Cricetulus griseus: one gene and its partners. The main gene of each other region encodes a partner of the protein of the gene in region 4 in a complex. Links are inferred from orthologs where the notes say so. Each region holds a gene or a part of one and is shown on either strand. Other genes may lie near its edges.

What was found.
Region 1: Sf3b2 (region 4) and Ppil2 share a complex: the UniProt entries of both Homo sapiens proteins name them as parts of the minor spliceosome. The link is inferred for Cricetulus griseus from reciprocal best matches to the Homo sapiens genes SF3B2 and PPIL2.
Region 2: Sf3b2 (region 4) and Bud13 share a complex: the UniProt entries of both Homo sapiens proteins name them as parts of the minor spliceosome. The link is inferred for Cricetulus griseus from reciprocal best matches to the Homo sapiens genes SF3B2 and BUD13.
Region 3: Sf3b2 (region 4) and Cwc27 share a complex: the UniProt entries of both Homo sapiens proteins name them as parts of the minor spliceosome. The link is inferred for Cricetulus griseus from reciprocal best matches to the Homo sapiens genes SF3B2 and CWC27.
Region 5: Sf3b2 (region 4) and Sf3b3 share a complex: the UniProt entries of both Homo sapiens proteins name them as parts of the SF3B subcomplex of the 17S U2 SnRNP complex. The link is inferred for Cricetulus griseus from reciprocal best matches to the Homo sapiens genes SF3B2 and SF3B3.
Region 6: Sf3b2 (region 4) and Srrm2 share a complex: the UniProt entries of both Homo sapiens proteins name them as parts of the minor spliceosome. The link is inferred for Cricetulus griseus from reciprocal best matches to the Homo sapiens genes SF3B2 and SRRM2.
Region 7: Sf3b2 (region 4) and Snip1 share a complex: the UniProt entries of both Homo sapiens proteins name them as parts of the minor spliceosome. The link is inferred for Cricetulus griseus from reciprocal best matches to the Homo sapiens genes SF3B2 and SNIP1.

What each region holds. Positions count from the first base shown.
Region 1 is NC_048597.1:72,219,843-72,224,136, forward strand, and holds the start of Ppil2 (RING-type E3 ubiquitin-protein ligase PPIL2), read left to right. Parts: upstream 1-1,494; 5' UTR 1,495-1,580; coding exon 1,581-1,612; intron 1,613-3,274; coding exon 3,275-3,324; intron 3,325-3,972; coding exon 3,973-4,018; intron 4,019-4,294. UniProt on the Homo sapiens protein: Has a ubiquitin-protein ligase activity acting as an E3 ubiquitin protein ligase or as an ubiquitin-ubiquitin ligase promoting elongation of ubiquitin chains on substrates.
Region 2 is NC_048597.1:158,021,024-158,025,267, reverse strand, and holds the start of Bud13 (BUD13 homolog), read right to left. Parts: upstream 2,801-4,244; 5' UTR 2,686-2,800; coding exon 2,543-2,685; intron 141-2,542; coding exon 50-140; intron 1-49. UniProt on the Homo sapiens protein: Involved in pre-mRNA splicing as component of the activated spliceosome. As a component of the minor spliceosome, involved in the splicing of U12-type introns in pre-mRNAs.
Region 3 is NC_048595.1:322,922,088-322,925,450, reverse strand, and holds the end of Cwc27 (spliceosome-associated protein CWC27 homolog), read left to right. Parts: intron 1-2,268; coding exon 2,269-2,431; 3' UTR 2,432-2,863; downstream 2,864-3,363. UniProt on the Homo sapiens protein: As part of the spliceosome, plays a role in pre-mRNA splicing. Probable inactive PPIase with no peptidyl-prolyl cis-trans isomerase activity. As a component of the minor spliceosome, involved in the splicing of U12-type introns in pre-mRNAs.
Region 4 is NC_048596.1:54,031,087-54,034,586, reverse strand, and holds part of Sf3b2 (splicing factor 3B subunit 2), read right to left. Parts: intron 2,559-3,500; coding exon 2,409-2,558; intron 1,676-2,408; coding exon 1,586-1,675; intron 1,477-1,585; coding exon 1,369-1,476; intron 1,113-1,368; coding exon 1,005-1,112; intron 757-1,004; coding exon 614-756; intron 528-613; coding exon 426-527; intron 1-425. UniProt on the Homo sapiens protein: Component of the 17S U2 SnRNP complex of the spliceosome, a large ribonucleoprotein complex that removes introns from transcribed pre-mRNAs.
Region 5 is NC_048596.1:187,226,287-187,229,786, forward strand, and holds part of Sf3b3 (splicing factor 3B subunit 3), read right to left. Parts: intron 2,560-3,500; coding exon 2,464-2,559; intron 252-2,463; coding exon 179-251; intron 1-178. UniProt on the Homo sapiens protein: Component of the 17S U2 SnRNP complex of the spliceosome, a large ribonucleoprotein complex that removes introns from transcribed pre-mRNAs.
Region 6 is NC_048600.1:43,333,547-43,337,046, reverse strand, and holds part of Srrm2 (serine/arginine repetitive matrix protein 2), read right to left. Parts: coding exon 1-3,500. UniProt on the Homo sapiens protein: Required for pre-mRNA splicing as component of the spliceosome. As a component of the minor spliceosome, involved in the splicing of U12-type introns in pre-mRNAs.
Region 7 is NC_048595.1:27,987,065-27,991,049, forward strand, and holds the start of Snip1 (smad nuclear-interacting protein 1), read right to left. Parts: upstream 2,801-3,985; 5' UTR 2,729-2,800; coding exon 2,517-2,728; intron 1,598-2,516; coding exon 1,495-1,597; intron 1-1,494. UniProt on the Homo sapiens protein: Required for pre-mRNA splicing as component of the spliceosome. As a component of the minor spliceosome, involved in the splicing of U12-type introns in pre-mRNAs. Down-regulates NF-kappa-B signaling by competing with RELA for CREBBP/EP300 binding.

The DNA of each region.
Region 1 (4,294 bases), on a different chromosome or scaffold from region 4:
GAATAGCCCCCAAACACAGGAAAATGGTTTATTTATAGACTCCAACACTGCAAGGCTAGGGTGTTTCCAATGGTTTTTTGGTTACATAGGAATTTGGCTGGCTGAACATCTTATCAGGGTGGTGAAAACAAACAAACAAAAAAAGGAAAGGAACATAACTGCTCCTAGGTATGGTGGCGGTGAAGGTTTATTATAGATAAAAGGAAGAGTATAGCCAGAGGCAGGGACATCTGGAAGAGTCCAGAGTGGACATGACCCTGAACTATACAAGAAGAAGGGGCAAGGGGAGAGGGGAACCAGGTGTGGCAGCCAAGAGACTCAGAGAGAGCCGATGAAAAGGCCAGGTAACCAAAATGTTTGGATTATATAGGGAAGGGCAGCTGGGGGAAGGGCAGCCCAGCCTTTGGGCTGGAGAAGTTTAGGATAGGGGGCAGGCATGCTAGCTGGGGGGCCCCTATAGCAGGCCGGGACTGAGGAATGCAGGGAGAACCTGGTGGCCAGCATTCACTCTGATACATTAAATAGGCACCTCAGCAGTGTGTCCCGAGTTTGAGACCTAACAGTTGGAGGTCAGGCTAACAGGGTGTGGAGCATTAGCATCAAAGTGGAGATTTGCAACAGAGGACAGGGAGACTGAGAATTCTTTGATCAGACATGTAGACAAGAACTTGACATGTAGTTGTCTTTGGAGTCACGATATAAGTGGTGTTTAAAACCACAAGCTTAGGGGGCTGGAGAGATGCTTCAGCAGTTAAAAGCACTTGCTGCTCTCCCAAAGGGCCCAGGTTCAATCCCCATCACCCATAGGGGATCTGACACCCTTACACAAAGCACCATTGCACATAAAAAAATAAAGCCACAAGCTTAGGCTTGCGGCACAAGCCTGGCAAGGAGAACCAACTCCTGCATTTTGTCCTATGAATTCCACACATGTGCCATGGCACATAGTTGACCACACACATACTATAAAAGGAAACTCAGGTGTTTGTACTTAGCATGCACTTAAGGGTTAATCTCTAGTCCTCTGCATCCTCAGGCAAAAAACAAGCCAGACCAAGGACCTGGCTCCAAGGAACGATCTAGCAGAGTAGATATATGGAACCGGGGAGGGCACTGCACCTGAGGGCTTCATCACCTGCCACCTGATGGGCCTGGAGGACGTGGGGGCTGGAGAGCAAAGAAAAGGAGGTGAGTAGGCAGTGGGATGGCCATGCCTTTGCAGGCACTGGTCCAGGAGCTAGGGCAAGAGGCTTTAGATACAAGGGAGGGCAGGTCTGAGCGGATCTGGCTGGTACAGCTTGGGCTGGGCAAGTAACCAGGTAGTGTACAGAGAAGTCTTTGAGAATTCGCAACGCAGTTTGCCTGGAGACAAGAAAAGTGGATTCTACTCAGAGCCAGCAAGCTTCTGCTTCTTACGGTGGCCGCGCCCAGCGTTCACTATGGGCACCTGGAAACCACAATTCCCAGAATGCCTCTTTCCAACTTCCGGGACCGGGTGAGCCGAACTCCGGAAGTAGCTGAGAAAGCGGAGGCGCCAGAGTCTGATCGTCTGCTGGGGCCGACTTGGGTTCGTCGCAGCCATGGGGAAGCGACAACACCAGAAGGACAAGATGTAAGTTGGGTAGCACCTCTCTTCTCACCTCATCACCACCCTGCAGGTCATCTCTTCCCGAAAGCCTCAGTTCTTGCAGCCCAATATCGTCTTAGCGCGGCCTCCGCGGCTAGGGCGTTTTGCTGGCCGGACTGATTCACTCCCGGGACTTACCCCTACCGCCCCTCTTTCTGCCCCTGCGTTGGTTGTCTGCCCTTTGGTCCTGGCTGTCACTTGCCAGCCTACTTGCAGGCGACAGTTTAAGACTAGCGGACTGTGTTCCGTGTTCCTCTCATTTGCCACTGTCTGTCAGGATGCTGTTTTCTGTTGTTTCTTGAAACAAGTGTAATCAGATGCTTTACCCCCAAACTGCTGGCAAGGATGCCTTTGACTTCTGTATTGCCAAATCTAGTGCGCAGCTCTCAGTCTTTGGGCTTCTTCCCTTTCCGAAGCCGACCCTTAGTGGGATCCTACAAGCGGCTTTGCTTTTTATCTGTCGCAATGACCTCTCTTTTATCATTCCTCCTTGCTGGGCTTCCTTCCCCTGTCCCAGACTTCGTGGGTGTCCCTTCATTTCTGTTCTCTGTGGGTGATCTGTTCTAGTAGTCTAATCTCGCCTGCACTAAGTCAGCTGTTTACTCAGTAGCTTTCTCAGAATTAGAATGCCTGAAAGGGAACTCTTTCTTGATAATTTTCACACCTTAAGCCTGCTCTATTTCCATCTTATTCCAGTGGTTACATAGTAAATCCCTGATTTGCTAGACATAGACTGAAGACAGTTTTCAGCCTTAAACACTGGCACACAGCAACCAGAGCTATGTTAGGTCATGTCTGGGTACTGCTCAAAACCATTCAACGGCTTCCCATCACACCTAAGGCAATGGAGAGTACTTTCTGGATCTTTAAGACTCCTTTATGGTCTGGCGTCTTTAATCCCAGTAGGGATTAGAGACAGAGAGGCAGAGACAGGCGGGTCTCTGTGAGTTCAAGACCAGCCTGGTCTACAGATCGAGTTCCAGGCCAGGCTCCAAAGCAGTACAGAGAAACCCTGTCTCGAAAAACAAAAAAAAAAAAAAAAGAAAAGAAGAAGAAGACGAAGAAGAAAAAAGAAAGGTTTTGGCTGGAGAGATGGCTCAGCAGTTAAGAGCAGTGACTGTTCTTCCAGAGGTCCCAGAGTTCAATTAATTCCCAGTAACCACATGGTGGCTCACAAACATCTGTAATGAGATCTGGTGCCCTCTTCTGGCCTGTAGGCACACATGCAGACAGAACACTGTATACATAATAAATAATTTTTTTTTAAAGACTCCTTTATGATCAGCTACTGTCCTTGCTTCTGTCTCCATCTGCTGCCCCATACCTCCCCAGATGTTCTTCTAGTGTCTCCCTTCCAGAACACATTCAGCTTTCCCTGCTCCAACCTCAGTAAGTACTGCCCTGTAAAGGGCTTCCCCAGATCTTTGTAAGCCTAGCTCTTTCTCATTGCCAGGTCATCCAGTTCATCTCCTTCAGGGCAAGGTCGCTGATGTTTGCATATATTTCTGTCTGTTGTGCTTATCATTATGTCTAATGCTGCAGCTGTTTGATGTGCACTTGTCAAGTGAGTGGCAGTTCTGTCATATTACATCTACAGCTTCTGTCCCTTCTGTGAGGGCAACTAGTAATATCCTCTGTCTTCCTTAGGTACATCACCTGCGCGGAGTACACTCACTTCTATGGTGGCAGGAAGCCAGGTAAGGGGTGTTGGTGGTACTGAGGAATGTATATAGTGGTCCAGAACACTGATATTACAGTGTATATTAGTGGGCTGAGTACAGAGTCCACAAAAGAGGATGCGTACTCAACATAGTAGAGTATAGTAGTGGAGAGATTTTAAAAGTATTTTTATGTAAAACGGCTTTTTCTTCATAGGAGGAAAACATGAATGGTAATACCCAAGTTTTCCAAGGCTGTAGAAAAAAGGATGTAGTTTTTTTTTTTCATTTATTTATTTTATTTGCATTGATGTTTTGTCTGCATGTATGCTTCTGTGAGGGTGCCAGATCCCCTGGGACTGGAGTTAGCTGTGAGCTGCTCTTGTAGACCAGGCTGGTCTCGAACTCAAAGAGATCCGCCTGCCTCTGCCTCCCGAGTGCTGGGACTAAAGGTGTGCCACCATTGCCCGGCTACTCTTAATCTGGGGCCTGGAGGTGTAGCTCGGTGATACAACTAGCACATAGCATATATAAGGTCTTGGGCTTCATCTCCAGCAATACATAATACAACTCTTCTCTTTTGGAACAACAGCAACAAAAAATTTAATCTGTGGTAATGTAGTTTTTGTGGTAGATACAGTAGATGAAATGCTTTCTAAATAAGTTTTCTGGTTTTTATTTAAACAGATATCACACAGACAAGTTTTCGCCGCTTACCTTTTGACCACTGTAGGTAAGATCTTTAAAAGGGTTCTGTTTTCTTTTTCTTAATTTAAATCAGAAACAATCTTATTTTATATATCAATCCCAGTTCTCTCTCCCTCCCATTCTCCCATGCCCCCCCAACCGACCCCCATCCCATCCCTCTTCTGCTCCATAGAAAGGGTGAGGCCTTCTATGGGGGAATCACCAAAATCTGTCACATCATTTGGGGCAGGGCCCAGGCCCTCCCCAGGTTCTATTTTCTTTTGATTATCATTCTCCAAGTGTGTGTATGTTTTAAGATAGG
Region 2 (4,244 bases), on a different chromosome or scaffold from region 4:
ATGCTTGGATCATTTCAAAGTCCTGACAAGACTCCAAAAGATAACATACCACAGGCAAATCTCCATCTTCTTCCTCTTCCTTTTCCGGCTTAGTGGTAGAAATAGCTGCCCAGCCCACATCATCATCAACAATCCGCATTCTAGATGAGAACAATAAAAGCCTCAAAAAAGAACTCATTCTGGGACACAGGCCTATGTACACTTACCTATTGTTTTTTGGCATTTATTTATCGTGTGTGTATGTGTGACGGGGTGTGTGTGTGTGTGTGTGTCATAGAATACATATAGAAGTCAGAGGACAACTTGCAGGAGTCAGTTGTTTCCCTCCACCATGTGGGTTCAGAGGATTGAACTCAGCCTGTCAGGCTCGTTGGCAAGCATTGGGCCATCTCACCTTTTGGCTTTTAAAGTTCAAAAGTATGGCTCAGTCTTTGTGTATATGGACTCCTACTGTCAGTTCACTCCATCACTGTCCACCTTTTTGTTTTTTGGTTTTGGTTTTTGAAGACAGGTTTTCTCTATATAACAGCCCTGGCTATCCCGGAACTTGCTCCATAGACCAGGATGGCCTTGGACTCAGAGATCCACCTGCCTCTGCCTCCCAAGTGGCTTACACTTCCACATTGCTGTTCATCAGTGAAGGAACTCAAACAGGCAGGATCCTGGAGGCAGGAGCTAATGCAGAGACCATGATGGGTGCGACTTACTGGCTTGTTCCCCATGGCTTGCTCAGCCTGCTTTTTATAGAACCAGGACCACCAGCCCAGAGATGGTACCACCCACAATGGGCTGGGCCCTCCCACATTGATCACTAAATGAGAAAATGCCTAACTGCTGGATCTCATGGAGGCATTTCCTCAGTTGAGGCTCCTTCCTCTGATGACTCTAGCTTATGTCAAGTTGACACACAAATCCAGCCAGTACACCACCTAAGTTGCAATGGGTTTTGTAAGTAGCCTAGAGACAATTTAAAGAGGATATGAATAGTTTACCCACAAATACTGTATCATTGTGTGGAGGAACTTAAGTACCTGTGGACTTGAGTAACCAGTGTACCAACTGCTGAAAGATGATGGCATCCAATGGATGTGATCTGTGCTGCAAAGAGGTATTTGAAAAACCAGGAACACATGCTACATCTTTAATCACAACAGCCATTTCAGACAAACAGCAGTGTTCAGGACCACTAGGACTCCGAGTCTCAGAGAGGTGAACTCTCTTGCCCAAGATGACCCAGGCTATAAAGTAGCACTGCTAGGATTCAGATTCCAGTTAGTGCTGTTCCAAAGCTTAAACCATGTTCCCTGAATGGCATTGCTCCTTCTTAGAACCACACTGAGCTGGGCGTTGGTGGTACACACCTTTAATCCCAGCACTCCAGAGGCAGAGGCAGGCAGATCTCTGTGAGTTCGAGGCCAGTCTGGTCTACAAGAGCTAGTTCCAGGACAGCCTCCAAAAGCCACAGAGAAACCCTGTCTCGAAAAATTAAAAAAAAAAAAAAAAAAAAAGAACCACACTGAATTTACCACATACCTTAACTGAATATAGGCTCAACTAGTAACACCACAAAGATTGATGTCATGCTGAAGTCCCAAATGAAGGTAAATTTGGGCAAAGAGGGAATTAGGGAATTAGTCTACCCACTTCAATGGGCCACAGAATTTTCTCAGTAGAAATATGAGAATAATACTGTCAGCTCACGATGGTTCCCCCATAGAGGGGTGTGAACCACACTTTATATTCTCTAAGCTGCTAAGCTCTTAGCAAGCAGCAGACCCAAGGCATGGTGTATAAGAACGGGATTAGCTTCCAGAGTTTCGACCTTGTATCCAAAATAGTACCTTCTTAGCAAGCTGCTAAACTTAGGGTCGCTGCTCTAAAGTCTATAATTTCTTTTGTCCTGTGGGCTGATGTTGGATCTCCTATCCCAACCTTTCCAGATTCCAGTGGCCAAGTCACTGCATCCGAAATCTGTCTCAGCACATCCCTCTTTCGAACCTGGAAAGTATATTATTTAAAACAATGTCTACTTCACCACAATGTCCTGAAAGTTATATGGTCAAAGTTTTTAGAAAGAGGCCAGGCACATGATAGGAACTGTACCCATATTAGTTGTTACTGTTAGTAGTAGGCAAGAATAACAGGACTTAGATCTTTGGTTCCAGATCAGTTCCTAATACTTTGAAGGCCCCAGAAACAGATTTTTGAATTCTAACATTAAAAAAAAAAAACCGCAATCACTGGGGCTTTTAATTAGTTCTACTACTCTCAGGGCACGACTTTTCAATCTGTTCGAGGGACGATACAAGGCTACAAAGGCGGGAAAACAGTAAGGAAGTTCTAAGTTCTAGCTGGCCTTAACGCATGGAAGACACTGCTCAGAGGACGAGGTCTGAGCTGCAGGCGGCGGCGAAGAGCCGGCTCGGGAGCAGCGGGGCCGGGCCTGGGTCGGCAGCGCTCGCAGCGCCGCGCGGGCGGGGAGGAGGAAGAGCTGCGGCCGAGGGCGCAAAGGGGCAGCGCGATGCCCCATCAGTCCACTCACCCCTTGCCACCGGCGCCTCCTGGCTTCGGCCGTTTTCTGCGCCGCTTCCGAACCGACTCTGGACCTCCTTCCGGGCCAGCATCTGCTCCAGACAAGTAACGCTTCAGATACTCAGCCTTGGAGAGCGGCAGAGCTGCCGCCATGGCAGCGGCGAGGGCGGGGCAACGGCTCGGCGTTGGGGACAAAAATTCTTCTACGGGAAACGGATGGGGGTGGAGCCAGAAACGGAAGCCCTAGGAGTGGCCCTTATGGAGCTACTGGGGCTGATAGGTGTCATGACTCTTAAAAAATGTCTTTACAGGCTCGGTGTGGGGAAGGGGAGGTGCATGAATGCATCGTAGGGCCGTTCTGCTTTCCTGTGACGACACATCCGTGCAACGCTCTCAGCCGGGACTGTTCCAGCAAAGAGGTCACAGGCCGACTTAACTAGTCCTGCCCTGACGACTGCACCGGAGTAGGGAAGAACCGAAACTCAGGAGATCAGAGCACCTATTTGAATACGAGACCGATCGTAACTGTGCCACTGGGGGCAAGTTATTGAATAGCATTTTAATAACGGATGTTGTGCCAAATGCCTAGCACAATTAGTTTATTTCAGTTATTATTATCATTATTGAAGAAGAAGAAGAAGAAGAAGAAGAAGAAGAAGAAGAAGAAGAAGAAGAAGAAGAAGAAGAAGAAGAAGAAGAAGAAGAAGAAGAAAGAAGAAAGAATTTACAAAAGCAGGGACTTGGTGAAGCTGCCTGGTGGATACCCTTGAGGACTCATAGGTAGATGCCAACCCAGAGCAGGAGGAAGAGGACTCCCAAGCCCATTAAGAGTTAGGGCACCAAGGAGATGAGGAGCTCTTTATAAATAATTGTATGTACTTGGTGGAGGTGACCTTATAAACGAAGAACCAGGAAGTACCACGATCAGGTGTGGGAAGACAGCTGGATTGACCCAGCTGGTGTACCTACTGATGACCCCCAGCTCTTTTGCCCACAATAAACCACCAGTAGAACTATTTCGGTTATTTTTATTGGTATAAATACCTTTTGGTAGACAGTATACTGGAACAGTGCCATTTAGGGGAAGTCAAACAAATCCCACCCCCAATATTGTGACTGAAAAGTGGATTGGTCTCATCAAACCTGTATTGACCTTTCCACGTTTGGTATTATCTCTCAAGAAAATGGTATACAATCTTCCCAATAAAAATGACAAGGAATTGTTGTCAATGTGGCAAAGAAAAGAAAGCCAGGAAGATTCTATTTCTTATAGGGGGTTAAGTGTTTGGTGAATCTTCACTTGACCCCCACAATTCTGTTTCTTCTTCCATCAAGCACTGGGGATTGAACCCAGGGCCTTGCACATGATAAGGAAGAGTTCTGTAGCAGAACTACTTCCCCCACCCCTTTCTGAATTTTGGAGACATGACCTTGCTAAGTTGCCCAGGATGATCTTGAGTTTGTTATCCTTCTGCCTCAGCATCCCAAGTAGCTGGACTATATACCAACACGGCCAAGCCTTCAGTTTTATTAGCCTCTTTATAGGTGATAAGTTTAGAGGAATATAGGAGCAAACTCATTCTCATACTCCCGAATTCTGACTTTTCTAGAAGAGGCCAGCCAAATACAGTGCACGAGGTTATCCAGATTGGGTTTGTTTTGTGACAGGGGTTCTCTGTATAGCCCTGGCTGGCCTGAAACTCTGCCTGCCT
Region 3 (3,363 bases), on a different chromosome or scaffold from region 4:
GTTTTGTTTTGTTTTTCGAGACAGGGTTTCTCTGTTTAGCTTTGGAGCCTATCCTGGCATTCACTGTGTAGACCAGGCTGGCCTCGAACTCACGGAGATCTGCCTGCCTCTGCCTCCCAAGTGCTGGGATTAAAAGTGTTCACCACCAACGCCGGCGAGAAACACTTTACTGGGTGAGTCTGCCACTGATTGGCCAGTTCTCACAAGTAGGAAGTTGTAGCTGGTGACATGAGCTGTCCCTGCTTATTTAGACCTTGGTAAGTCAGAATTAATTGGTTAAATCCAGTTGTGTTTCCAACTTGATCAACTGGTTCCTTGTTTCCATGATTACTGAAAAAAAAAATTGATCTTTTTCAAGGAATTGGGCATTCTCAGAAGCTAACACCCAAATAAACACCATAGGAAATTTACAACACAAGAAAATCAGACTTTATAGGGAATCCATATATGTATGCAATGGTTGTAGAATGCCCTTTCTAATTGGTAGTGTTTAATTAAGCACTGGACCTGTTAGAAGTCAGCATTTCTCACATGTGACATGGCTCATTCCTGTGTTGAGATAGGTTATTAAAGTCAGAACAAACTGCATTATTAATGATAAGACATAGTAATTTAAAGGGATTGTGCCTGGTGAAAATGCACTGTAGGTCATCTGTATGTCCCTGATACTCACTGCATCACCATGGCCTTCTAAAGTAGAATAGAAGGAAGTGGTAATGATCCATTTGCTACTGAGTCCCCAAAATGACAGTATCTGTAATATTTTCCTTTCCTACCAAATCTCTTTAAGAATCTTCAAAATCTGAACATACTCATAGGAGTTTTCCATACAAATAAATGTCACTCACCGTCTATGCTGCTGCAGGGAAAAGACTGGAGGTTCCTGACAGTACCAACTGCCCAAATCTTTACTTATACAGATCTAAAGAAATCAATGTCGCATGTGGGCTTGTCTGAAAGTTGCAAGGGGTGTAGGCAGAGTTTTATTCCTGTCTACTATGATGAAGAAAATACGTATTTAAGATGCACTGATACAAACTGGATTTTTTTAATTACATAATGAGTAGAAAATTCTTAACACTTTTGTTTATTCATATAAAAACTGAATTTTTTCCTTTCCTAATTCATTCAATTGCCCTGAAGTCTTTTGATTCCCTGTGTGTTGCTGATACCTTGCAATGGGGATACAGCTAATCCTGGCGTAGTTCCCTGCTGCTGAGGGTAGCTAGCTTATGACCACTTAGGAATCAAGCACATGCTGATACCTTAAGACCAGTAAGCATTTGCTAAAGTAGGAAGGCAGGATAGTGAAACTTGCTGTAATCAACAGTAAGAGGAGAAAATTAGTTCATAGAGTTACGCCAGAAGTTCCAGCCCCTTTTGCATAGAAAAATTCAGCCACTCCCAGAAAAGACAGCCACAGCACCATTTGAACATCACTTTTGGTTGTTTTTAAGCATTTATCTCATAGATGCATACTTTTTGTTCTGTTTGTCCCTGCTTATTTGGTTTTTGTTAATTTGCTAGTAGTGCTGGGGATTGAACCTAGGATGTATGCAAGGCAAAAATGCTCTACCACTACACACCAGCCCTAACACATCCCTTAAAGATGGGGATTTTTTTTTTTTTTTTTTTTTTTGGCTTGGTTTTTGTTGTGTTTCTGGTGTAACCCTTGCCTTTGACCCAAACATCAGACAGGTTTAGTCATTGGCTGGCATCTGGCTCCACAGCTGGCTCCGTGTATTTGAGTACACTCTTCAAAGAAAGAGGATAGAGTTCCAAATACAGTTTTAGGAGACCCCCCCACCCCGCCCCAGGTAGTAAGCATAGCCTCTCACCAGGGAGGAATCTGCAGTGAGCATGAGAGACAGGCATGTTCTCCAAAGTTTTGCTTTGTTTCTGTTGTGCAGTTCTGGGGACGCATGCTGGGAACTCTGCCACCAGTGGAATTCCTCACACAGCCTTGTTTTCTGTAGAACTGCTTTCCAGGTGGGATGGATAGTGTAAACAGCAACATCTCCTGGTGCTCCAGGCTGCCTACTTCCCTGTGTGAGAGTGGGGAAAAAAATCTCTCCATTGGGCCAGGCGGTAGTGGCAACAGTCTTGCGGAGGCAGAGGCAGGTGGATCCCTGTGACTTCAAGGCCAGCCTGGTCTGCAGAGGGAGTTCCACGACAGGCTCCAAAGCTACACAGAGAAACTGGGGGGGGGGGGGGGGGCTCTCCATTGGGTTCTCAGCCTGCGCTCACTGGGCCTCTGTTCTCCTTCAGGATGTCACATGTGCTCCAGTTTGAAGACAAAACCAGGAAAGTGAAAGATGCAAGCATGCAGGACTCAGACACATTTGAGATCTACGATCCTCGGAATCCGGTGAACAAAAGAAGAAGGGAAGAGAGCAAGAAGCTGTTGAGAGAGAAGAAAGAAAGAAGGTGAGAGGAGAGTGGTGATGCAGAACTGCTGGAAGCCTGCCTGCCATGAATGTCTTCGTGATGGCCAGCCATTGTTCACATCAGCAGGGCAGCATGGAGGGCTGTGAAAAGTACATCTGAACCTGTTCTCTGGTTCAGAAACCATATTTTGTTTTTTAAATTTGGAATGATGTAAGCAAATGCTTTTGGTTACTGACAGATTTTCTTTTCCTTAATTGACCTTTTCTATTGCTAAATCAGAAATAAAATCAGTTTCTTTCCAGTTTAAATGTTAACCACTTACAGGTTATATATGCCTGTTTATGCCCCTTTACCCTGAAATGTGTGAGGTTATCTTGTCTAGATGTTTTATAAGTGCTCACAGAAAGAATAAGGGGAACTTCCTCGACACTTTGATATAGAATCAAAATTATAAAATAAAAAACATTAACATTGATGACTCTTTTTGTATATAAACATAAAAATAGCCAGACCAATAGGACTCTTGCTTTAATTCCTAAGGAACCCACAGGCAAATTAATATTGTCTCTGTTCAGGCTATTGAATGCATTCAGGACAGTAGCACTCTGCTGCCATGCTCACCAAATACCACATCCTGGTGCTTGGCCACCTGCCACCCTCTGCCCCCACCAGCAGCGCAGCCCCAGGAGCAGGTGGGGTGCACGGGACCCGTAGCTCCCGCCAATAGAACACATCGGGAATTTAGCTCTTGATGCAGTCATTCACATTGGGTGATTCTGTTCCCTATTTTTAGTTCTAAAATCTGCTTGCTAAAATTGTACAGCAGGCTAACTTCAGTCACCTAATAAAACTTCACAGCCACATCTTCTCAGAAGAAGTAATGAAGTCGGTTTCCTCTTCCTCAAGCACTGCTTCTTCATCTGTGATCCCAGGTGCAGCACTGGCAGTAGACAAGAGGACAGAGAAATCCTAGTC
Region 4 (3,500 bases):
GTTGTATACATAATAAATAAATAAAAATCTTTAAAAGAAAGAAAGAAAGAAAGGGAAGAAAAGAAAGAAAGAAAGAAAGAAAGAAAGAAAGAAAGAAAGAAAGAAAAGGAATAAAGAAGCGGGCAGTGGTAGCACATGCCTTTAGTTCCAGCACTGGGGAGGTAGAGGCAGGCAGATCTCTGTGAGTTCGAGGCCAGCCTGGTCTATAAAAGCTAGTTCCAGGACAGCCTCCAAAGCTACAGAGAAACCCTGTCTCTGAAAACGAACGAAAGAAAGGAAGGAAGGAAGGAAGGAAGGAAGGAAGGAAGGAAGGAAGGAAGGAAGGAAGGAAGGAAAATGGAATTAAAAAGTCAGTCAACCAACCTAGAAGACCAACTAAAGTGAAAGTCCTCCCCCCAAAACTACTGCCCGATTACTTCTCTTACCCATCCATCGCCTCCTCTATCTTCTTCTTCCTCAGCTCAATGAGTTCAGGGGTCTCCATTCCAGCTGGCACTGATGAGAACCCTCCAGGAGTGATGAGGCCACTATGAGGAGAGAAACAAAATCTCCACTGTAAAAAAGCAGCCCCCAAAGACAGACTGCTTTGGAGGAGCTAGGTTCTATTTCCTACCTGTCTGCAGGTGTGATAAAGCCAGTTTCATCTGGCTTGTCTTCATCACTTTCTTCCTCTTCCTCTTCTTCTGAGGACTCTTCATCAGATGGTTCTAATTCTCCCCAAGGGGTCCGATCAATCTCTTCTTCTTCAGTTTTGGTCTAAAAGAGATTCCTCATTCATTCAATAAGTACTCACTTCGTGCCTATTGCCCCACTCTGCTGTTCACTAAAAGAAGGAAAAATAAACACACAAATCCTTTAAAGGAAAGCTGTGCTACACCCCAAGAAAATACATGCCCCTTTTCAGACTGAACACCAAGCCCAGCTCCCTGATAATGAAGTTACAGATCTACTATTCCTAACCCTTTTAGCATTAAGTAAAATCAAACTCAGCAGCCTCCCCATACCTGAAACTCAGCAGCATTGGTTCCAAACACGTCCCCATAAAGTGGCTTCCCAGTCTCATCTACTGGGGGTTTGCCCCACCCACCAGCATGGTATCCAAAGGAACAGCTCTGCAGAAGAGGGAACATGAGTAAGTTCTCCAAAACTCTAGAAAAGACTGAGGCCCTAGAAAAAAGTTAGCACTCCAAGATCGGGAGGGACTCACTCAAAAAACAAACAAGCAAGCAAACAAAAAGCCATCTGTCACTCTATATTCTGCTCTGGCCACCATAGGAACGTATGCCCACACATTCCTGTGTAACACACACACTCCTGTGTAACACATAGCCCAAGGCAGCCAAGAGGGAAAACAAGCTCACTGTTTACCTCAGGAATAGGAGAATTCAGCCCAGGGATTTTCAGATTTGGGTAGGATGGGGGTGGCCCATATCGCTGCATGGCAATCAGCCATGGGGGAGGGACTTTGTGGGCATTCTGTAAGAAAAACAGAACAGGCTATGACCTACCTTCCCCTACCCTATCTTTCCCTTCTGCTCCTATTCTCACCCTCTCTCCAGCTTCCCAGCCTCTTAGCCAAACTTACGGGTCCTACTGGCATCCCTAAGGAAATCCTTAGTTCATCAGATAGATCTCCAGGCTTCTTCTCCTTCAGCCTTGTCTCGAACTCCTTGCCCTGGGGAAAAAGCACAGCCTGCTCTGTTGAGGACTCCAGACACATACTAAGATCTCAGTGGCATAAGGACATAAGAACAGACAAGAAGCCCTAACTCCATCAGATACAAAGTCCCATCAGGGCTGCTGGGCTCCACTTGGGTAGAATAGAAAAAGGAAGAAGACCAGACTCCCTACTGCTACTGTGAGAATAAGGCCAAATACAGCACCTGCTTTCTCACTTGTGAAACGAGCCCACTGGACAAGATGACTGTCAGCATCCTTCTATCTGATCTTCTTTTGATGGTATGGTGATTAACATTTCAAAGATCAGGGGGAAAAATAAAACTTTTTCTCCCACTTAAAACACAAAATGTGCTGGGCAGTGGTTGTGCATGCCTTTGATCCCAGCCTGGTCTACAGAGTGAGTTCCAGGGCAGCCTCCAAAGACAGAGAAACCCTGTCTCGAAAAACCAAACACACACACACACACACACACACACACACAAAATGTTTCTGCACAACACATGCCATTGTCCCTAAACCACCCATCAAACATCACTTCAAATACATATAACTTTCTTCTGGAAAAAAGGACTTGTTTGAGGAAGAAGAAAAAAATCCACATACTATGTTACTCGGTGGCAGGAATGGGACATTTTAAGACTAGGGACCACTGTACCAGCTTTAAAATGGACTCTAACCGAAGTTAACATCAAGGCTCAACCCTGTACCTCCCAGTCCCCTTCCCGAACCTCATAATATAGGTCTCCATGGATGGTCAGCTTTGGTTTGGTCTGCCACTTGAAAAAGGCATCATGTAGTTTCTGGTAATCAATATCAATCTTCCCCATCTTGGGCCGAACCTTCTCTCTCATTTTTGACTTCATGGTCTTTTGTTCTTCCTGTAAAAATTGTCAGGAGAGGAGTTACTGAGTATCAGTCAGTTCTTTATTAGACACTCTTGTGGTGATACATTGTTTATGATCTAATAAAGCTTTCTTGAAGATCAGGATGCAAAGCCAGCCATACTAGCTAGCTAGAGAAGCTGGGCAATGGTGGCCACACCTTTAATTCAGGACTCAGGAGACAAGAGGCAGATGGATCTCTGTGAATTCAAGGCCACCCAGGGCTACGTGAGTGAATCAGTCTAAAAGAGAAACAGAGCTCACACCTTTGATACCAGAGAATATCAAAAGAGAATACAAAGAGCTCAGGGCAGTCTCAGGCCGGAGCAGTCTGAGATTTGGTGAGGAGCAGTGCAGTTTGGAGATGCAATCTGAGGTTCAGTGGATTGCCCCTTTGGTCTGAGCATTGAAGTAAGAACTCTTAAAACGGCTGGCCACTTTGCTTCTCTGATCTTCCAGCTTGAACTCCAGTTATCTGTCTCTGGGTTTTTATTTATGTATTTATGCTTTACACTCTTGACTCCAATTCAATGGAACCTCATTTATCTAAAACATCAGCTAAGTTTCAAAAAGCTCCTGAACTTGACGGTAATACCCAAAATTCAAATGACACAATCTGTGCTGAACACAATAGACTTGCTACATGAAAGCAGCCTCAGCTTTCTGTCAGAACCTACTGTTCCACTGTGTCATCAAGAAAGGACTGGGTCAGGGTTGGAGAGCTGGCTCACTTGTCGCTTTTGTAGACATAATTTCAGTTCCCAGCTCCCACATGGTGGCTTACAGCAATAATTCCTAACTCCAGTTCCAAAGATATCTAACACCCTCCTCTGACCTCCACAGGCACCAGGTATACACACAGTACACATATATACATGCAAGCGAAATACTATAAAAAGTTAATAAATCTAGGCCGGGCGTTGGTGGCACACACCTTTA
Region 5 (3,500 bases), about 130 Mb from region 4:
AGAGCAGCAGTAAATGAAGGTACCCTGATCAGAAGAAGCCTCAAAAAAAGGTGTGTCTTGCCAGAAGTTTCTGGGGTACTAAATGAAGCGATACAGACATATTATGAATGCAGTTTCTAAATTTCCCATGGCAATGGTTCCCAAGACCCATCTTGACTACCAGGAAAGGGACACTTACCTTCAATGTGCCGACGCACTGTCCAGACAGCATTGGGGTTACCAGGGAGCTCAGAAACAGCCATTTCTGACACCTAAAAGGAGAGCAGGCAAGCCACAGATCCAGTGAGCATGAAACTCTACTACTTAATATTATGCTAGGTGACACTATCCCAAGGCAAAGGCCTCACCCTGTACAGTGCACTAAAAGAACTGGAACACTTAGTGAAAAAAGAATGTAAAATCCAAAGACTGACGGCACAGGCAATCCCTTGACAGCAAAAAGGCATGGAACATACAGAAGGGTACAGGTTTACAACCAAACTATATGCTTCCTTTGAATATGCCATGCCTATATCCTTAAAAAAAAAAAAAGAAAAAAAAAATCAGGCAGTGGTGGTACACACCTTTAATCCCAGAACTTGGGAGGTGGATTTGTGTGAGTTCAAGGCCAGCCTGGTCTACTGAGCAAGGTCCAGGACAGGCTCCAAAGCTACAGAGAAACTCTGTCTCAAGAACAACAACAAAAGACAAGCACCATTGGAAACAAATGAAACAACCTAAATCAGTATTTTATTGCTTTCTCTAACTTTCACAAGATAAAAATAATATCTCTTCAAAGATTATTTATTACCTTTGGAATTTTTTTGAAAAACCCATTCTAAGTTTATTAAATATTATTAAATGACTCAGAGACAGAGTGCTTCATACACTGTACTTATAGAAAGAACAAGGCACTACCCTTTTCAGTTTCCAAGAACATTAAGACATAAGAACTTCATTAGTAAAACTTATGTGTCAAGTATCCTACTCAACTAATAGAAAATTTGGTTTTTTTGGTTTTTTTCATATTAAGACTATAGTCAAAAGTAAGACAGGTATACAAGAAGGAACAAAGCAATAACTATTTTTAACTATTTCCAAAATACAACAAAAGCTCTGCTTATAAAGTTGTAAGGACAGAGGGCAAGGCACTAAAAAGCAACTCTGGAATCCTTTATCTTACACTACACTAGGAGCCAATGAGCAGTAAGTAATTGAGAACTTCAGCTCCTGGTATGCAGATTTGGACAGTGGGACTGCTCTGTCTGGGCCAGCCCTAGGTACAATGAGACCTTTTCTTTAAACACAACAAAAAGAAAGCCAGGTAGTGGCGCACACCTTTAATCCCAGTGTTCAGGAGGCAAGGCAGGTGGATTTCTGTGAGTTTGATGCCAGCCAGGTCCACAGAACAAGTTCCAGGACAGGAGGGCTACACAGAGAAACCCTGTCTCAAAACAAAACAAAAGGGGTGGTGGTGGTGGTGGGGTGTGGTGGTGGGGATAACAGGAAGAGAAGAAAAAGGAAAGTCAAGCAGGTAGGCCTACTGGTTCTAAATTTGATCAAGGCCACTCAAAACTTAGTGAAATAATGAAACTAGCCTTGAATTCAAAAATCTTTCTACTTTTGACTACTGTGGCTCAAGTTACGGACATGCACCTCCACTTTTATAGTTTTAAGGTCATATCTTAAGCTGTTTCACCCAAACAACAATGTATTAGGGCAAATGCCATCATTAAGTGAATTTTACAGAACAAAAGTTTAAAGTTGCTATTTACTAAAGCCATATTTAAAACGAAGGTCATCTTGGCAATATTTCAACAAAATTTGATGAGAAACAGACAACAGGGGAGCTGGAGAGATGGCTCATAGTTTAAGAGCATTAACTGAAGCCGGGTGTTGGTGGCACACACCTTTAATTCCAGCACTCAGGAGGCAGAGGCAGGTGGATCTCAGTGAGTTCGAGACCAGCCTGGTCTACAAGAGCTAGTTCCAGGACAGCCCCCAAAGCCACAGAGAAACCCTGCCTCCACCTGCCCCCCGCCCCAAAAAAACATTAACTGCTCTTCCAGAGGTCCTGAGTTCAATTTCCAGGACCCACATGGTGGCTCAAAATAATCTATAATGAGATCTGATGCCCTCTTCTGGCCTGCAGGCAAATGTGTAGATAGAACACTGCATACATAATAAATCTTAAAAAAGGAAAGAAAAAGGATGACAGTCATCTTAATACCTACCTTTGCCAACCACAAACTCTAACTTCAAATGGTCATGGAAAATATTATTTACTTCCGCTAAGATGTCATAGGGAATGAACTAGTAAGGGAAAAGTAATCTGAACTCCATAAACTTCAGGGACAAGAGAAAGTACATATTTGTTCATAAAAACAGTAGTTTATCTTTGACCTCCTCAAAGTTAGCCTGTACAATGTTCTGTGCAGACCTTCCTTTCACATCATAAAGAGAACCAAGAAATTCCCATCTTACCTCAAGTCCATGCCTTAAGACTCTCAGCGATGACCGGGGTCCTCTACCACAGGCGACATACAGCTGTGGAGTATCTTCATTGGCCAGATCAGCTATCTGCACAACAAGGGGAAAATGTCTATTGTACTAAGCTTTCAAATACAACTATGAAAGGACAAACTATTCTCTGGTTTAAAGTTATATAATGGCTACTGACTGGGATAAGAGAAAAGGCCCTAGTGTTCCACATTAAACAAACAACGAAACCCCACAAAACACTGTTGGGTGGCGGTGGCACACTTAATCCCAGCACTCACAAGGCCGAGGCAGGAAGAAGCCAGCAGCCTGAGCCTGGTTGACACAGTGAGTTCCAAGACAGCAAGGAATGCAGAGAAACCCTGTCATGAAAAACAAAACAAAACAAAAAAAAACGAAAACAAAACACCACCAACAACAACAACAACAAAAAAAAAAAAACAAGAAAAACCAAACACTTATGTAATTTGTTCAGAAGTCAAAAAGGAACTTTGACATTTAGTGAAATGAAGTTTTGTTATAACCTGCATCTGAAATTAGTGTTTTCTTCCACTTAAAAGAGTCAAATTACATTGATTATAACTTTGTCACTCATAAAAACAATTTTAACATAAGTTTACAGGTGTTCCAATTACCTTAAGTACTATTTCAAAAATTTATTAGACCCATTAATAGTTATATATCTACACATATGCTTTTGATATGGCTAGCCAACTCATATGTAATTGCACCAAGGACAGTCTTGAACTTCAATCTTACACAATTAGTCAGGCAGGGCAGCTTAACCCTGTACTCCCAGCACTCAGGAGGCTGAGGCAGTAGAATAGTGTGTTCACAACTAGACTTGAGCTACACAGAGTCTCAAAACAAACACCCCTCATAGACTGATAGGTTTAGGCCCTGAACTCCTTTAACTACCAGTTTTTCACAGCAGTGATTCCACAGACAAGTTGTTTGTTAAGACTACAATTCAACCTGAGGAAAACTTTAAATGATCACATTTCAATTTAATAACAAGATGG
Region 6 (3,500 bases), on a different chromosome or scaffold from region 4:
GCTGGAGCCATCCTGGCACTGGAGAGATTTGAGGGAGCCAAGGCTGCAGGGGTTCTAGAGCCAGCAATATTCACAGGAGCTGTGCCATGTGCAGATCGAGGACCCACCAGGTTTGCAGGAGTAGGAGCCTGGGGTGTTCTGGAACTGGAGGGATAATTTGCAGCAGCCGGGGGTGTCCCAGAGCCTGTGAGACTCAAAGCTGCCAGTGCAGCTGGTGTTCTAGCTCCTGCTAGGTTCACAGCTGTGGCTGCAGGGGCTCGAGGATCAGCAAGGTTCACAGCTGAAGGAGCTACTGCTGTTCTAGGGCTGGCTAAGTTCATGGCTGCTGCTGCAGCTGGTGTTCTCGAGTCAGCAAGGTTCACTGATGCTGGAATAGCAGATGTTCTGGCACTAGCAAGGTTCATGGCTGCTGCAGATGCTGCTGGAATCCTGCTGGCAAGGTTTGCAGCTGGGGCTGTTCTGAGGCTCATGAGAGGTACAGGAGCTGGAACCTGGGACATTCTTGCAGCAAGGCCAGCAGCAGACATAGATGGAGGTGGCCGGGCAGTGCCAAGACTGATAGCTGTGAGAGCAAGTGCAATTCTAGACTGAGCATGGTTTTCTGGAACAGATGCTCTTGGATGATCAGGAATCCGGGGACCTGGACCATCCATCATGGAGCCACCACTTTGCTGTAGCACAGACATGGGTGTTCTAGCACTTCCAAGGGGTTCAAGCATTCCAGGTGATCTACATCGATCAAGAGGCGTTGGTGACATGCTAGGACGACTGAAGCAGCTCATTCTAGAGCTACTGAGTGCTACAGGAGGTGTACGAGATCCAGAATGATTCCTTGTTGCTGGAGGAGTGGCAGAACGTGACCGATCAGAACTACTTCCAGATGCAGACCGCCTACGGATGGCTGGAGGGGATCTTGTTAGGGACCGCTTGCCTCGAGTTGCTCTAGGAGTACGAGACCTAGAGCGGCGACGGATAGCAAGTGGTGAGCGACTTCGAGAGCGCTTGCGTGGCAACAGTGGTGTCCGAGACCTAGAGCGTCTACGAATAGCTGGAGGAGTTCTGGACCTGGAGCGGCGACGTGTCACTGGAGAGGTTCGAGAACGAGAGCGCCTTCGAGTGACTGGAGATGTGCGAGATCGAGATCTTCTACGTGTGACTGGGGATGTCCTGGATCTGGATCTTCTTCGAGTAATTGGTGAAGTTCTGCTTCGAGATCGCCTCCTGGTTACTGGTGGAGTCCTAGATCTGGACCTTCTTCGAGTCACTGGAGGAGTCCTAGAACGAGAGCGACGGCGCGTTGTTGGTGTTCTGGATCTTGATCGACGACGAGTTACTGGTGGTGTTCTTGACCTAGATCTCCTACGACTCACTGGGGATGCTCTTGATCTAGATCTACGCCTATTCACTGACCTTGACCGTCTCCTACTCACGGGTGAGGTCCGAGATCTGGACCTGCGCCGGCTGATCAGTGGTGTTCTGGACCTGGATCGCCGATGAGTAGCTGGTGAGGCTCGAGATCTAGAGCGCTTCCATGGGGCTGGTGATGTTCGTGATCGAGATCGCTTCCGACTGGTCAAAGGTGTCCGAGATCGGCCTCTTCTGCGTCGAGATGAAGTTCGGGAACTCTCCTGTCTTGTAGGTGATCTTGAATGGTAACCAGAGCCACCCCTCCGCCTACGAGTGACACGAGACCTAGACCGGCTCCTCTGTCGTCTTCTTGATGTTGACTGAGATGATCCAGACCTATCTCGGCGTCTGGTTGTTCTGGTTTTGTCTCTACGTGAGCGGGATCGGGACCTTTGGAGTCCACGAGGTTTTGGTGAAGGAGATCGGCCTCTCCTTGAAGTAGTCTTGGTTCGGGGTGATGAAGCTGAGCGCCGCCTCCGTGAAGACCTTGACTTTTCAGTTGGCTCTGGTGAAGACACTGAAGGACTTCTTCGACGTCTTGGTGGAGTTCTGGAGCGGGTTTCTGGTGATGAGGATGCAGAGCGGCTTCTTCGAGAGACTCTAGCCTTCCTGGTTAGCTCGGGAGATGATCGAGAACTCCGACGTCTAGGTGGTGTGCGAGACTTTGTCTTTGGCTCCATTGAGGACCTGGAGCCTCTTCGAGCAGTTCTGGATTTGGGTGGGTGTTCTGGAGAAGACTCAGAACTACTACTTCCTTCAGGTGAAGGGCCTCTGTCTTTGCTTGATGAACCTGACCTACTTCGTCTGGGCAGGGCCCGAGGGGCAGGTATTTTGTGTTCAGGAGAAGAGTCAGTACCACTCTGAGCCCTTTGCAGCCCTCTTGGCTTATCTTTCATTTCAGGGGATGAACCAGACCTACTGAGCCGGGGAGAGGGTCGAGATTTGCTCTCAACCTCTGGGGATGAACCAGAGTGACTCCTCTGTCTAAGAGGGGTTCGAGTCTTGGGTTTAGAATCTGGAGAGGAGTCTGATTCACTTCTTTCTTGAGGGGATGCACTGGGTTTTCCATCAAGCTCTTGGGAAGACCCAGATCGACTTCTTTGCCCAGGAGAGGTTCTAGCCACAGTTTTCTGTTCTACTGATGATTCTGACCCGCTTCTTTCTCTTTGAGGGGTGACACTTTTGTTGTTGTGCTCTGGGGATGATGGAGGGCTTCGTGCTCTTGGAGTCTGAGGCAATGCTTTTGGTTCTGGGGAAGAGTCACATTCACTTCGTCCCCTGGATGGGGTATGAGGTGCATCTTTGATCCCAGGAGATGACCCAGACAGGCTATGCCTAGAAGGACTCCCAGACCCATCTCTAAGTCCTGGAGAAGACCCAGATCGGCTTCTCCTAGACGGAGTTCTGGGCAAACCATCTTTCAGTTCAGGAGAAGATGCAGAACTACTTCTTTCTCTTGAAGGTGTTCTGTGTACAGTCTCAAGTGTAGGAGAAGACACACTCTGATTTGAAAATATTCCTACCTTTTCTACTACTTCTGGGGATAACTCAGAACTGCTGCGCCTGGAGGATCTTGCTGATTGTTCTTTCATGTCCAAAGAGGGATCTGTCTCTGTTTGATTAAGAAATGGCCCATTCAATTCTTCTTTAACTTCAGGAGAAAATCCAGCATTTACTTCTGAAATAGGGCCCGAGTTTCTAAGCTCTAAAGATGACTCAAAGCTATTCTCCCCAGGGGAAGAATGAGATAGTTCTTTATGTTCTGGAGACATTTGCAGCCCACTCCAACATGAAGCCACTGCAGGGATTTCTGCTGGTTTAGAAGAGGGCTGTGCCTGGCTTTGGTCAAGAGCAGACAATACAGCAGGCCTTTCTATTTCAGGAGATGATTCAATGTTACTTCCAGGCATTTCTTTATGTTCTGGAGATAAACTCTGTATAACTTGGCTTAAAGGTTGCTCAGATTTTTCTGCTTCCATTAATTCATCTTGGCTTGAAATAGGTAATGAACTATTTTGGTCTCTTGTGCCTGGAGGTGACCCAGCTCCAATTCTTTCCTTTAATAGTACTCTAGGTGTGTCTTTCAGTACTGT
Region 7 (3,985 bases), on a different chromosome or scaffold from region 4:
GCTCTTGGCTTTAATCCCAGCACTTGGGAGGCAGAGGCAGGTGAATCTCTTTTGAGTTCAAGGCCAGCCTGGTCTACAGAACAAGATCCAGGACAGTTAGAGCTACACAGAGAAAGCCTGTCTCAAAAAAACCAAAGAGTTCTAGGCCTGCCTATAATACCTACTAAGCAAGTTTCAAGCCAATCTGGACCTAACTGACAGGAGGTCAACTGTCTCAACTACAAAGATGTGGGATCATGCAATTTTTGTGTCCTGTCGCCGCCGCGCCTGCTGCGCTCCGCCCCCCCCGCCCCCCCCCCCCCCGTTTAGTAAGCAAGCCATCATGGTTCAGACATCTTGTAACTCATCAGAATTTTCTTCATTTTAAGGCTGAGTAATAATAATAGTCCATTTACTATAAATACATATGGAATGGTAATGGGACTAGAATTCAGGAAACAGGCTAGGCAAGCGCTCTACTTCTAAACTTTAGCCCCAGCCTTTTCGAGACAGGGTTTCTCTGTGTAGCTTTGGAGCCTGTCCTGGCACTCGCTCTAGAGACCAAGCTGGCCTCGAACTCACAGAGATCCGCCTGCCTCTGCCTCCCGAGTGCTGGGATTAAAGGCGTGCGCCACCAACGCCCGGCCTCCCTTTTTACTTTTTGAGACAGTGTCTCTCACTAAACTTATAAACCAGCCTTGAACTTGTGATCCCCCTGCCTCAGTGTAGGGATACATGTACACACCGCCACACTGGCTTGGAGCAAGACACTAGAAAATCTGGAAGATAACTCAGCACCCATGTGGTATCTGACAGCGATCCTTAACTCAAGTTCTAGGGAATCTGCTACCCTCTTCTGGGATCTGTGGGTATCAGACATATACACAGTGCACACACATACATGCAGGCAGGCAAAACACATACACATGGGGGGGGGGGAGATGCACCAAAAAAAAACTTTATTTTTAATCACACACATTCAAGACTGTTCTAACATTTACAGAGATGCAGACAAAGGAACTAGAACAGCTAAGACAATTTTGAAAATACTAAAGTAAAAGGGATTGGGGCACTCAGGTTTCAAGACTTATCACTTAGTGTGGTACTTGAGACAGCATGGGATTGGCGGAATGATAGACAAAAATAAAGATAAAGATAAAGGTGGAAAGGAACAGGGCTCTAGAGAACAGCTGGAGGCCTCCCACTGGCAGTGAGATGTCTGTATCCTGACTGTGATACTGCCCACGGTTGTGTGACAAGTTGCCATTGGGAGAAACAAGGAAAGGTACATCTCTCTGCACTATTTCTGGCAAAGAGTTATCAGAATTAAATCAATAACTTCCTCCAAATTTGAAGTTTCACATAAAACAACACAAACATATATCTAGTCTTTAGAAAAGCCCACAGCCAGGACAAGGAAAGACGGAGACACGCCGGTGCAGGCCACCTTTAGGTCCAGCAACAGCTCTGGATTTGAACGTGGGTCCTAGCAAAGGCTCCTGCCCACTCACTCACCTGCTTCACTTTGACGGTGGAGTAGTGGGGGCTCCGGCTTCTCTTAGTCCGAGGAGACTTGCTTCTTCTCCCTGAGGACTTGTTTTTCTTTTTGGCTGGGGACCTTATCAGAGCATGGTACACAGGATTTTACCTCAATGTCCCTGCCCCCAAATAAATTAGCTTCAAGTATCAGGCTACTAAACATAACACATTTGTGAAATCACTAATGGAGTCAGGTCCTCACTTCCCTAGCCACTTCTCCCAGGCTCACATACACAACTGCCTGCTCACTTAGATACCCTAATACTTGAACCCCAAAGCTCTTTTCCCAGTCTGTCATCCTACTGATTGGCATCACTATCCAGGGAGTCAATCTTGCCTGGTTTTTGGTTTTGTTTTGTTTTTTGTTTTTCCTAACACACTCCCTTCTCCAACAACCACATCCAATCCCTTGGCAAGTCCCAGGGACCCACCCTTTCCTCCACCCCACCTCATTCCTACAATGCTGCTCCTTCATCGCTCAATTCCAGACACACTGCCTGTTTTGCTTCAACTTTTAAAACAAGCCCAATTCCACTTCAGGTTCTTCGCATACATTTTTCTCTGTCCTGACCCAGCGCTAGTGCCGGGGTTAAAGGCGTGCGCCACCACGGCCCGGCCACGTTACTGTTTGACTATATCCTCAGCACTAATTGAATCTATTTGTTATTTTCCTTCTTTAGGGTTGGAGCACGCCCAATTTCGCCGGGGCCAAACCATCTCTCTTCTTCACCCTGTGGCCCAGTACCTCAATTGATCGTTAGCCCACACTGTGCACTCAGTAAATCGATGCCGTACGGGGGGCATCGGCGAATGAGTGCTGCGAAGAAGTCGCCAGGACCCAACGTGAAACAACACTTTGGCGGCAGGCAAGTGGAAAGACATTCCCACCGTCCCCCGTGGGAGGCGGGGGGAATCTCATTTCAACTCAACAGGTGCTCTACACCCCGAGTCGCTCGCACCGCCCGGGCCCCGCGCCATCCCGGCCGCGGCCCTCTCACCGGCTCACTCCCCGGGCTCGACTCCCACGGTGGCTAGCGCGGCCCGGCTCGGCGGCGGGCGGGGACGGGCTAGCGGCTGGGGCGTCGGGCCGCCGGTGCGCGATAGGTTCGGGGCTCAGACGCTCCTGCTTCACCACCACGGTCGCCAGTGCGTCGTCGGCCCGGTGTCGCCGCCGGCCGCTTCGCTCCCGCTCGCTCTTCCCGGCCTTCATCCTGCGGCCCGGCCGAGAGCCACTTGCACGGTCCGTTGAGCCACTCGAGCCGAAGGAAGTGACGGCCCGACCTTTGTACTTCCGCTTCCGGGCAGCGCGCTATCCCAGAAGCCCTCACGGCGGGGGGTCCCCTAGGTGGGCGTGGCCGCAGATGCTAAGGTTCCTACGCTGGGGACGCCCGGGCTTGTGACCCCGGGATCCCGGCTCCTGGGGAAGTGAGGCTGGAGGACTGGAAAGTCAAGGCCAGACCTCGGGAGGCGGAGGCAGAAGAATCGCTGTAAATTCGAGGCCAGCCTGGGCAATTTAGTGAGTCGGTCAGGTAGAGATTGCCTAGCCGAGCCCGAAGCCCTGGATTCCATCCGCAGCACCGCCAAATAGAAATTAAGTTAAAAGGGCGGAAAGCCTGGAGAATGTATCTTAACAGTAAAGTGAGCGTTTGCCTCGCGTGTGCAAAGGGCTGGGGGCAGTCCCTAAGACCTCACAAATCACCAAAAGAAAAAAATCCTTTTTTTTTTTTTTTTGCTTCTCGAGACAGGGTTTCTATATGTAACGTTGGCTGTCCTAGAATTTACTCTGTAGACCAGGCTGGTCTCGAACTCGAGATCCGCCTGCCTCTGCCTCCCAAGCCCTGGAATTAAAGGTGTTCGCCTGGCTCTTAAAAAAGACAAATCTTGCCAGGCGTTGGTGGCGCACTCGGGAGGCAGAGGCAGGCGGATCTCTGTGAGTTCGAGGCCAACCTGGTCTACAGAGCCAGTGCCAGGATAGGCTCCAAAGCTACACAGAGAAACCCTGTCTCGAAAAACCTAAATAAATAATAAATAAATAAATAAATAAATAAATAAATAAATAAATAATCTTGGGGTCTGGGCTGGAGAGATGGCTCTTCCTGGGGTCCTGAGTTCAATTTCCAGCAACCACATGGTGGCTCACAACCATCTGTGATGAGATCTGGTGCCCTCTTCTGGCCTGCAGGGATGCATGCAGACAGAACACTGTATACATAATAAATAAATAAATCTTTAAAATAAAAGAAAGAAAATTGGAAAGTTAATCCAAACCTGTTCGTGGCGGATTGTTGATAGTTACAAAACACAGACAAATACTCAACAATAGGAAATTCTTTTTTGTTTCTTGAGACAGTGTCTATGTAATCTTGGCTGTCCTGGAACTCACACAGATCCACCAGCCTCTGCCTTCTAAGTGCCAATCGTTGCTAAACAAACTAAGGAGTCAGGAGATGACTTGCGTTTTAAGGCT